Daphnia pulex: one gene and its partner. The protein of the gene in region 1 interacts with the protein of each later gene in a pairwise test. Links are inferred from orthologs where the notes say so. Each region holds a gene or a part of one and is shown in the gene's direction. Other genes may lie near its edges.

Evidence for each region.
Region 2: the proteins of RNA helicase aquarius-like (region 1) and zinc finger protein 830-like interact in a two-hybrid assay, tested with the Homo sapiens proteins (2 studies listed by BioGRID and IntAct, with this or other methods). The link is inferred for Daphnia pulex from reciprocal best matches to the Homo sapiens genes AQR and ZNF830.

The regions. Positions count from the first base shown.
Region 1 is NC_060021.1:10,929,913-10,935,129, forward strand, and holds the start of RNA helicase aquarius-like, read left to right. Parts: upstream 1-1,201; 5' UTR 1,202-1,309; coding exon 1,310-1,408; intron 1,409-1,459; coding exon 1,460-1,717; intron 1,718-1,786; coding exon 1,787-1,993; intron 1,994-2,070; coding exon 2,071-2,248; intron 2,249-2,318; coding exon 2,319-2,497; intron 2,498-2,498; exon of another isoform or gene 2,499-2,612; coding exon of another isoform or gene 2,613-2,753; intron 2,754-2,817; coding exon of another isoform or gene 2,818-2,965; intron 2,966-3,027; coding exon of another isoform or gene 3,028-3,163; intron 3,164-3,230; coding exon of another isoform or gene 3,231-3,406; intron 3,407-3,478; coding exon of another isoform or gene 3,479-4,077; intron 4,078-4,156; coding exon of another isoform or gene 4,157-4,543; exon of another isoform or gene 4,544-4,857; intron 4,858-5,217. Other genes in the region: DNA-dependent metalloprotease dvc-1-like, read right to left, coding at 1-111, 170-345; probable G-protein coupled receptor Mth-like 5, read right to left, coding at 2,613-2,753, 2,818-2,965, 3,028-3,163, 3,231-3,406, 3,479-4,077, 4,157-4,543.
Region 2 is NC_060019.1:8,117,340-8,123,827, reverse strand, and holds zinc finger protein 830-like, read left to right. Parts: upstream 1-2,816; 5' UTR 2,817-2,999; intron 3,000-3,952; 5' UTR 3,953-4,111; coding exon 4,112-4,690; intron 4,691-4,760; coding exon 4,761-5,081; 3' UTR 5,082-5,313; downstream 5,314-6,488. Other genes in the region: protein hairy-like, read left to right, coding at 286-357, 434-535, 635-1,558; tetraspanin-31-like, read right to left, coding at 5,404-5,469, 6,291-6,488.

The DNA.
Region 1 (5,217 bases):
AGAAGAGTTTCAACAAGATCCTTTCTTGGTCTCAATTTCAAAAGTGGTACACTAAGGCTGATGGAGCAATGCCCAGATCTCCTTCCTTCATACCTACACAAACCAGCACACCTACAAACAAATTCATTAGAATACACTTCTATGGTTGTTGAACTGATTCAAACTATACACAGTCATTCTCGGGCTCCATTTCACCACAACACTTTTTAGCTGGCTAGAAAAAAAGCGATCATCAAATTGAAGAAACAGACTATGAATATCGGGGGTGGGATCCAAATATTCCCATTCTTCGTCCACGATAGAGTTGGGATACATTCCATTTTTCTGTTTGCTTATCAAACTCATTTACTGTTCTTGATTTAAAACAAAATGTGCAGTGGCCAATGGAGTACTGAATTACTGATCAAAGTCACCGGAAGTCCGGAACTATTTACAAACTTTTGAATCGTTGAAGTTCTTGATTTCGTCTGCTAATGTTTCTGTGGCAACACAGGCAGCGGGCGCCATACATCAAGATTTTAAACGTTTACTGATATCATAATTATTCAAGGATTTAATCCTTTGGGCACCTCTTTGAAAAATAAAATTTATTTTTCACTTTACCAATTACTCAAAAAAAGTCAGAAATTTTTTTGGAAAATAAGGAGAATGGCGGGTGGCAACGTCGTATTTACACTTAAATTTAATAAATCCTAATTTTAGAGTTTAATAAGAAAATATATTGAAATAGGCCAAAGGGGAAGGTTGTTTGGCTTATAAGGTTGCTTGGTACACGCTCGTACTCCATTGAGCTGCATACTGGAACTTAATTGAGCCACTTTGCGTTGCCGAGTGAACGGTAACGGGCCACGATACTCAATCAGGGGTTAATCGTACGTCTGAATGACACTACTTCGGAGCGTGAGACTAACTAGCAGAGTCATCACTGAGGTTGAACGGGTTACAACCTTTGTGATAGACATCCTTTACAGGCTTACAGCAACCGGATGCTTAATAGTTCAGAAGGAATTATTTATTGTTTGTTGGTTTACTATTTGACTATATATTGATGTATAGCAGATATGCAATATTTTTTTTCAAAACTTGTATGTAAAACAGATTCCAAAACTTGTTCAGTTGTTCTGAAAATCACATAACGAAAAAAAAAAAACAAATCGACCGCTTTGTTTAGTGTCCAGAGCCGCCGCTTGGGTTTCATCGTCTGCTGCCGGTTTCTGTGGCAACTAGGCGCCATCCGAGTTTTCAACTTTTCAAGCTGATAACTTGCTTGACGTTTCAGGCATTTTTAAAACGTATATATTGTTACAAAATGGAAAGCAAAGATCGAAACGATGGTTCGAGTAACAAGAACAATGAGAATAAAACACCTTTAACAGTCGATCAAATCAATTCTGATCGAATCACACAGGTAACAAATCTGTTGCATCAAATCCTTCACTATCTAACACATTTTCTTCAGGTTGCATCAAAATACTGGGCACCACAAACATGTGGAAATCACATGGATTTCGACGCCAGCATAGTTGACCAAATTTATCACCAAGAAGTTCAAGGTGCAAAATTCATGATTCGCCGGATCATGATGCTTGAGTTTAGCCAGTATCTGGAAAATTACTTGTGGCCAAACTACAAACCCGATAATTCCTCTGCGTCACATGTGTTATCAATAGTAATCATGGTTAATGAAAAATTCAGAGAACGTGTATCAGCATGGCAGGTGTGTGTTAGTTCTGTTATTCAGATAATATGTTAATTTACATTATTTATTATGTTGTTTTTGTTTTAGATTTTCCAAAAACTTCCAGAAAATTTTCCGAGCCTTTTTAAACAACTGATGGAAATGTCCCTTGATGAAAAATGGGGACTTAGTTTTAAGGAACGAACCATGATCCTCATCTTTTTTAACCATTGTTTCAATAGCCTTGAAATCGATCTGATCCGTGATCAAGTTCAGAAATTGGTCTCATTGTCTATTTGGACTTGTTTACCAGAGGTCAGTAAGATTACAGTAAAAACATCTTTTTCAGACAATTCAAGAGATTACTAAAAAATATCTTGAATACATTTTAGGGAAGAAGAGAACAAGAACTCAATGCTTTTCCTAAACTCAGAAAGTTTTGGAAAGTTATTCAGAAAAAAGACTCCAAAGAGAATGAGGATTCCAAAGCTAAAGCTGATTTTGAGCGAAGATTCCTTCAGCGTTTGATGCACAAATTTCTCTCCCTTTTAGCTACTATTCCGTTGGAAGGTAAAGATTTTTTATTGTATACGATTTTGAGAATTGTAATTAAAGCGTTATTCCAAAATGATACGTATAGGAGACATCGACGTAGAAGCAGTTCACTATTGCGAACGTTTTTTGGAGTTACTGATTGACTTAGAGGCTTTACTGCCCACTCGCCGCTTCTTCAATGTCGTCATGGACGATTGTCATCTGGTCACGCGTTGCCACCTGTCAATGTTGAATCAACGAACTGAAGGGAAACTATTCTCGCAGGTCAGTGTTTTCACTTTCAGTGTATTTCATTTGCGATTTTTTTAAATGCGCCTCGAGTTATGTAAACGTACAAAAGAAAGAATAAGCATCGTCCACGCAGTGTTAAACAACAAGGCTAGATCGGAGTTCCGAGGGCCATCATTTCTTCGCCGTAGTAGTGTCCCCGATCTCTTGTTTTCGGTGGGAAGCAGCGGCGACAAAGCCAACATTGCGACATTTGCAGGCGTATTTTCAAAAGGTGCATGACGCGGCGTCCCTGTAAAATCAAAAATAATTTAGATTCGCCTCCAATTAACGTGCTTATCATCCATCCTTTTTACTTTGAGGGCAGCCCAAAAAATTAGAAAAGGCAGTACAATGTCAGCCAAGATCCGTAGGCCGACTAAAATAGGATATTGTAACCAAGAAAATGTTTGGATTATCCAAACGGTTTCGATGATGAGGAAGAGACGGGTGTAAGCCTGAAAGCTAATGCAAATGAATGTTTTAATTACATTTCTTTAACTCAAAGGAGATCAGGTTTTTCTTACTATCCCTTGGTGCGGTGAAATGTCCGTCCGTAGGCCGTCTGATTACTAAGAGTAGAGCGAGTGGCAAAGTACACGTAAATATTGACCAGGAAAAGGAAGACGCAAGTCGAGCAGAATAGGGCTAATCCCAACCACCCTGTAGAAAATGATTTCCTTTTAGCAATGTGAAATTCGCTTAAAACTTGTTTCGCGATTCTACTTACCGATTCTGTACCAAGTGAAGAAACTGTGAGGTGAAGTGGTCCCGTGTGACTGGTCTTCAATGAAAAAGTGCACCATAACCGCTAGACCTGTCACACAAACCGCTGAACCCCACGAATACAGTGAATAAAAAACGTAGCGCTTTCCTTCCGGTCGCATGGCTTCTTTCCGTGGGTATCTATCAAATTGTAGAAAGAAAAAGTCGTTGGTTTTATTGAAGTATTAGTGATATCAATTTCATTTAGATTACCTGACGGCCGTCCATGCTCGGTGTCCGATGGCACTGAGCCAAAAATGAACGGCAACGTCTGAGCCATGAACCACCGACTCCAAGAAAAGTAAATTGAGGTACGGACTAGGTCGAGAATCGGCAGATGAGAGAATTAGGTTGCTAATCATGGTGACGATCATTGAAACGACGAGGCTAATGAGCATGCAACCACTCAGATCCCGTAATTCTTTGAGAACGAGATGAATTCCGGTTAGCGTGAGCAATACCAACAGGCCGACACCTAAGCCGATGGGGTAGAAAATTCGCACAAACATTTCGAAAAAGTCGCTCTCATCCAACGGGCCCGGCTCGCAGATGAGAGCGTAGTAGACCGGGCCGTCTGACGGAGGCGACAACGGTGCTGAACTTGTGTTTTCGGCACCGTTTGGTAATCCGTGGCCGAAATGTGACACGGATCCCAAAAGTCTAACACCGTCCACGCAATACTGATCAAGTGGATATTCGTGGTGACGAGGAACCTCAGCCAACTTGTCCACCACGTGACGCAGGACACCGAAAGGTCTTAGTTGTAAATCTTCCTGAAATCCGGCGTATGTAAAGATGGGCCAGGCTCGAAACTAATTTTTGCGTATATGGAAAACACATGTCATTTTCATGAAAATGTTGAATGAATTAGTAGTTTTGATTTTTCTTTACCGGTCCACATTGTGGTTTACCCACGATGGATGAGATGCAAGGCCCGTTTGGAATGCAGAATTTGGTGATGTTAAAATCCGAATCGGCACTGTCTTTATCCAGGCTTCCCTCAAAAGACAGAAGGTTGTTATGGTTGTCTAGGAAATCGGGTGCCCACCGGAAAGATGTATCGTTTTGCAATTGACATTCAAACTTGGAGCCAGTGCTGTGGGTGGTGGCCGTGGTTCTGCTGGTCACTTCCACCATCATGTGAGCTTCTGGACAGCATTTCTGAACGTGAATCCAGTGACCCACGACTGGCCCTTCACTTTCCAGATTCTCTAAGCCTGTCGATGACGCCAACTGATGGATCAGCAAAAGCAACAGTGTAGCTGTCCACTCGGACATGATGACGCAAGGACGACGCGACCGCTCCTCTTTTTGAAGCCCGTTACAATCTCGAAGATCTTCACAGCCTCATGACATCCTCCTGTCTGGCTACGTTGAAATGTAACACTTTTGAGCACCGAGTTGTAATTTGTGGCCGTTTCCAGATGTGAATTGAACAAAGTGTCGAAGCTTTCTGTCTTTTTCTCTCCCTCGCTGTCCAAGGGAACAACAGACGACGGAACGACAGGGGAGATGAAAATGAGCGTAGCCTATAGTCGGTACACAGCAGAATCGAAAATGTGGTCGACCAAGCAACCTTGTAGCCTGCGGCGGAAATAAGAATAGGTAGAAAGTGACGGGCTTTTGTTCTCTTTGGGAAAAACACGCCCAGGTGTGCCGTGTTCCAGCCGCTTCTCTTTTCGCTTATCGCTCCCAATCCCTTTTCAAGGCTTCGCTTAAATTCAAATGGAAGGGCACGTTCCCCCTCTTTTTTTTCTCACTTTTTTCTGTGTTGTTCTTCTATTCTCCAATTTCGAAATAGGGGAAGGATGGCTTATAATCCGGACCGATATATATTCCGGTTAGTTTCCTGAAGGGTGGAAATTTTTTTGTTTTATCCTGCTAGCATTGTCTAGATTTTATACGCAGGTTCATGCAATTTTCAAACTTTGATCAATAATTTAAAAGTTTCT
Region 2 (6,488 bases), on another chromosome or scaffold:
CCACTGTCCTTCATTCAACAGTTTTTCAATGGCAGTTTGTCGGCATTTAAAGGCCTGCGAACCTGTTCTTTTCGTAGGTTCCCAGGGTGTACCACGGAATATTTAGACCATCCTATCCTAGTAAGCCTCGTGATCATCCAGTTCAGTTGGATTCAAACTGTTGTAACGCATACACCTCAACTGTAACGATCCGTTTACTCTTTAAACTTGCGCAGTACTCGTCTGTAGGTTTTTGAGCTAACAAGTCTTACACTTCTGTTCCCTGATTGCACTTAACAAATAAAAATGAACCGAAAAAGTGATTCGTGTTTAACAGATCGTAAATGTTTTGAAGCTCGTGGCTCCGAAAGCAGAAAGGTAAAAGAAATGGACATTTGAATTTCGCAAATAAAATAGTTGTTAACTTTGGCCTTTAAAAAAAATTGAATTATAGGTGCGCAAACCTTTAATGGAAAAGAAGCGTCGAGCACGCATCAACCAGAGCCTAAATGATTTGAAAGATCTTCTCATGGAAACGGACAGCGTAAAAAAAGAGGTGTGTATTATACATATTGCATTCGTTTACATTATATTTTAACTGTTTAAAGTGTTATTAAAAACGAAGCTGGAACTAAATAAAAATTTTAAATTTCAGGGTTCCCGACCGGCTAAACTGGAGAAGGCCGACGTTTTAGAACTAACTGTAAACTACGTCCAGAAGCTTCACAAGGAACGACGTAATAACATGCGGGACAATTCAAATGATGGAAGCACTAGCTGCCCGATCCCTAATGGTTTTTCGCCAAGATCTAATCAATCGTCAAGGTTTAAAGATGGGTTCATCGAGTGCGCTCGCATCGTTCGAGAAGTTTTACACAATCAACCCCAGCAAGCAATGGAAGGAGACCTGCAAAAAAGAGTCGGCCAATATCTTGACCGATGCTTAACTAATTTAGTTCCCGAACTACTGACCAACCGAAAATCGCTTTCACCTTCGCTCGGAAGCGACTCATGCACATCGTTTGAAGAAAAATACATGGACCCTTCCGAATTTGTCATGGACAGCTCTTCACCTGCAAATCGTATTTGTTCATCACCTTCAACATCGGAGGAAAGTCGGGACTCGTGCTCTCGACGGTCATTTTCAAACGAAATCAACAGCTTTGCTGATTTAACATCAACGCCGAATTCTTCACCGAGCAATGCGCTCAACGTGATACCGTCTCGCTGGACTTGCGGTTTCAAGTCCGTTCCATTCTTCGGATCTCCTGATTTGTCAGCTGAGAACTTGAATCAAGGCAACAAGTGGGAAAATCATCAGGTGGTCCCTTCTTCAATGTCATGCGAGAGAAAATGGAAGACGAGCGATGCCAATATCGTGGAACTTTTTGCATGTGGTGTCCCATCAACCAGCGCTTTTCCATCAGATTGTTCTTCCAGCTCTTTGACTTCCAACCAACACTACCAACATTCACCCGAAGTTATTTATCGACATCAAATCAGCCTGTATGACGATCATATTTCATCACCTTCCTTGAAATCGGATGCGGATCGTATGAAAGTATGGAGACCTTGGTAAAACTCGGTAAAACTACGTGATAATGGGTGTCTTGATTTGATTTTGATTTAATTGTATGTTTACTTTCTTACCGAACAAAAATAACTCATAATCGTGATTCATGAATTGTACATAAATGAGGATAATAAATAATATGCCATGTTATTCAAACGAAGTTTCATGTTATTCCGTCCTAGTTTGAAATGCAGTGATATACTGTCAACAGTGATTTTTCAATTTTCCGGGACATTTTGATATATAATGATAGCTGCAGTTCCGCATGAATGGTGTTTACGCTGGATGTGCTGGGAAAGACGGCACAGTCAAACCTAATTTACGCTAACTTAGCCAACAGCTAATATTAATATTGATACAATTCAATTATATAGTCAGCGCTGGCATTACACTGGCTTATACATTCGCATATAAGGGAGAACAAGTTATGATGCTGTATATAGAAATTTCAGCTGAATTTATTAAATGCGCACTGAGCTTTCTCGGGTTAACGATGTCGATCTTTACTCTGTACAATAAATCTAATCTACAGAATTCATTCTGTAGTGAGCCAAGGAAACGTAATCGTAATGTGTATAACATTCGTAGGTCACAATCAAGTTTTCTTACGTACTGAATAATTTTGACTTTTTCTTTAAATAACAAAAAAGGCCAGCGTGTTATCACTAGAAGTTTCTACATAATATATGACATAACTCTCCTGCCTACGGTAATCATCCTTTGGCATTCACTTTTAATGCTTAATTTTTTTAAACATATTTTTAAAATAACTCTGGTGCTCAACTCTCGAAAAACCATAATTCTCCTAAACACTACCATTGCTTTAAATGAAAGAATGGAAATGGAAGTAGCCTAGTAAGGAACGAGGAAATAGATGCTCGCTATTCAGGTTTCTCTCGCGCAGTATATAGTACGTACGTCTTTTTTACTCTCACGGCAAAAGCACAGCAACCTGATGCGCTCGATGGAGCTGTGCGGCTAAAAGGCCTGTTCACAAAAGGCGCTTTCTATATAAACGATCTCCTGAACATTTGGAAACCCGATCTTCGTAGATAACAACAATCTCTTCCCCTCTCTGAGGTCATGACCGTTGGGTCTAGTAAAGGTCCCTCACGTCGAGAAATATCCCTGTGTACACTTCATACAGCGATATCTACGTACGACTACTATATCTACCACGAGTGATAAGGAAATCAAACGAGATATCCGATTTCAACATGCCGGAAGTGGCAAACGATTACTTAAGCTGTCCCTTTTCCATTCTTTAAAGTAAAGGACTGAGGATGAGCTGGAGCGTTGAGCTCGTTCATTGAAAATGTGAATGAAAAAATGGCAAGTTAAGTTCTAGTGAAATGGGACGTTAGAGAAAGAAGGAGAAGGTTCTCTTTACATTTCTATTATTCTCATCGAAATTCTGAACCGGACATGAAAACCGTTGATAACGTCCGTAAGTAAGCGACTAAATAATGAACAAAGCATGACACACGGGTCACGACATTTTGTCGGGGAGTTGGTAACTATTTTCTGTTTACAGGACTTCATGGATTTAAGAAAAATTTACATGCGCGTTAACGTTTGAGCCATTCAAATTCAAGTAAAAAATGCAATCCAATTTTTCCGAGCCAAATTCAGAAATCTCAATCTATAAGAATTTTAAATCTTATGGAATTCTGTACATTAGTGTGTTATTTAATCGAAACATCAGTAGTTAAACGATCTCGTACAAAAGTGAAAGGCTTGGTGAAGGTATAACTAGATACAGACTGGACACTTGCATGTTAATAAAGCTATTGGGATTAATTAATTTACTGAATGGCACATGGGCATTCCAGATACCGCTCAAATAATATGTTTTGAAAACTTGATGCTTGAAAACTGAAAATGGCTGAATAATAATATTTTTTATATGGATCAAAAATTAATTAATATGTTTATATTTTGGGTAAAAAGACTTTATTCCTCGTGATTTATTCCTAAATTTATTCACAGGGCGAAAAAAGTGGGATTTTTGGGACAGAGGTAATAAAGGTTGAGTGGACTAATAAAGAGTGAGTCGGGGAAAGTGGAACAGGGAAATCTAGAGCAAACACGTATATCAAATAGTTCTTTTTTAATTTGAAAATTTTTTCAAGCGATTGGCTGGCGTAACATTCTTGATCATATTTTCGTTCTCAGACAAGTGTTCTTGTCAAACCACGAAGCATGAACACTACCCAATGGCTGTCTTAATTTTTGGATTGTCAGTCTGTTTGAGTTTTTTTCTTTTTGCATATGTGGTAGGATAGAGACACGGAGACAATGATTAGGCATGCATTGAAGAATAAAACAATAGCCGTGTTTGAGCTCAAGTGTGAAATTGATAAATTATTTTCAAATTTATTTGCAACTTTTGGTTACCAGATGACAGGTCGATAGGCTCAAGTTCCTTCACCAGGTGGTGCTTCTGCAGTTGTCGACAACTGTTGTTTTGATTAAAACTTGAAAGAGCAAAATTGGACGAAATTAATAACTGTACAACCGAATTTTTTAAACTTTGTTGTTGCTCTACATAAGATTGAAATGGCATCGAGTTCATCAAAATCGTCCTTAAAGCTAATGGGATCTGCTAAGAAAATAGATTCACCGCTAGCTAAGTACAACAGTGCTGGACAGCTGACTTGCATCGTGTGTAATAGCGTTGTCAAAAATGAATTGGTCTGGACTGCCCACGTCAATGGAAGACTACACCGAGAAAAAGTGCTTTCTTTGAAAAATCCCAAAGTTGAAGCACAGTTCACCAAGCCTCAAATTATTCCTGCTGTCAAACGGAAAGCAGACTCAATAACTACTAATGGTTCCTCAGCTTCACCATCCAAGAAAGGAGTTCCGAAAGATTTTTTTGATAACCAACCTCCTAATTTCATTGCCCCAATGCCAATAAAAAGCATCCTAAAAAACTCAACAAAACCCAAGTATGATTCTAATGTAGTCAAAATTGAAACACCTACCTTAATTGAGGACATGGAAACTGACGATGCACCTGAAGTGTCCTCTCAAACACCAAGTGGAACTGAAATATCCACTTCACAGCCAGGAGATGCTATTTCTTCTAATGCCATACCTGAAGGATTTTTTGATGACCCTAAGATGGATGCCAAGGTTCAATGCCAAAGACTTTAATGTTATTTCTACTTATTATTTAACCTAATATCTTGATATTTGTTTATAGGTTCGCCAAATTGAATTCAAAGACCCTGTAGAAGAAGAGTGGAACAAGTTCCAGAAAGAAATTGGTGATGAAGTTACAGCATCAGTTGCCATCCAAGAGGAAGATCAGGAAGAATCTACAGCTGAAAGACAGCTGGAAGAAATTGAAGAGCAAATGATAAAGTGGGGGAGAGTTCTTGAGCTGGAACAAAAGAAAGAATTGTATGGCCAGCGTGTTCGAGCTATTCGTGAATCGATGGTAGAGGAGAAAGAGACAAGTTCAAGCGACGAGGACGACGCTGAAATGGACAAATTCTTTGATTGGCGATCGAAGGCTACATGATCATTTGTCCACAAACGTCCTGCAAAATGTTGATGTTAAATATACCGGAAAGCACGATTTGATAGTTAGATTTATAATGTATTTCAGTTAACTGAACAACATCTATTGCCACATCAATTATATTACGCATATCCCGCACCACTTCGGCATTGCATCATTCCGAGAAAAAAGGAAAACATAAAACTTTTGCTAACTGAAGTCCAATAAGGACGATGAGCACACATGACGAAATAATAAAAAAAAATTAATTGTGGAATGGGAGCTGATGAAAATTCTAGTGTAGGGAGCGCTTTGACACAGTTTCCAATCATGTCTTCGAAAATCACTGCACCTCGTTCATTCCAGCAGCCATGTGTCTGAAGCGATATGCGACTGAGAATCCCACAAGCTGCAGAAAATAAAACAAAAATTATTTAAATTTAACAATTTAGATAAAACTTAAGAAAACAAAGGCAATAATAATAACGCTAAATTTAGGCCTAGCTACGGTAAAGCACCTACAAAAAATGAATTCAAAGAACCGTGTCCAATAAGCTCAAAGCAAAACAACACATAAGCCATAAAATGATGAACATGTTAGTTATGGAGGAGACCAGTACCTTGAGTCCTAGGAATGAGTGTTATGCAAAGATGGTAAGTGTGAAGGAGAAAAAAGGGTACGGTAAAATGGAATAGAACAAACGGGGGATCAACGGCAGATGGATTCGTAGGAAGAATTTAGAGAAAAGCACCGGGGTGGCCCTTTGGGTCTTTCTGATTGCGATAGCGTACGGTCAACCACACTCCAACGAACTGTAGAACGCAACATGGAGACAATGACACACAAGAAAAAAGATTTAATTCCACCTATCGAAGGCCGAAAATTATTTTACGTTAAGACTTCGGCAACAGTTTAATGTGCAGCCCCCAAATAAAATAGGGTGTACAAAGTATTGCGACAGTTCATGCAATTTTAATTAAGCTATGATGCCTCTAATTCGATATCAATTAAGTAATGATAACTACGATTTCAGAAGGAATTTCATTGGGAGCCTTCGTTTGTGAAAAATAAGCATGTTTCTCCTTACAATATTACGTTTGAATACTTAATGCTATTTACATATCACATAAGCAATGTTGAGATCTGAGTTAAGTGTTAGTAAACATGTAGGAGTTACTTATATATAAACTAAAAGAAAAGGCAATATTATAATTCATAATTCAAAATACCTCAGTGAAGCTGAAGAATAGACCAATTCCACCTGACACACGGAAACCATAATTGATCATATTTTCAAGTGCACTCTCACACGTTAGACAAGTAGGGCATTTATCCGCGCATTCGGTACCCGAATCAGTGGTATTGTGGAATCCACAACAATTAAAAGCGTTCTGAACATCTGTTTTAGTGGCATTGTCAGCACTATT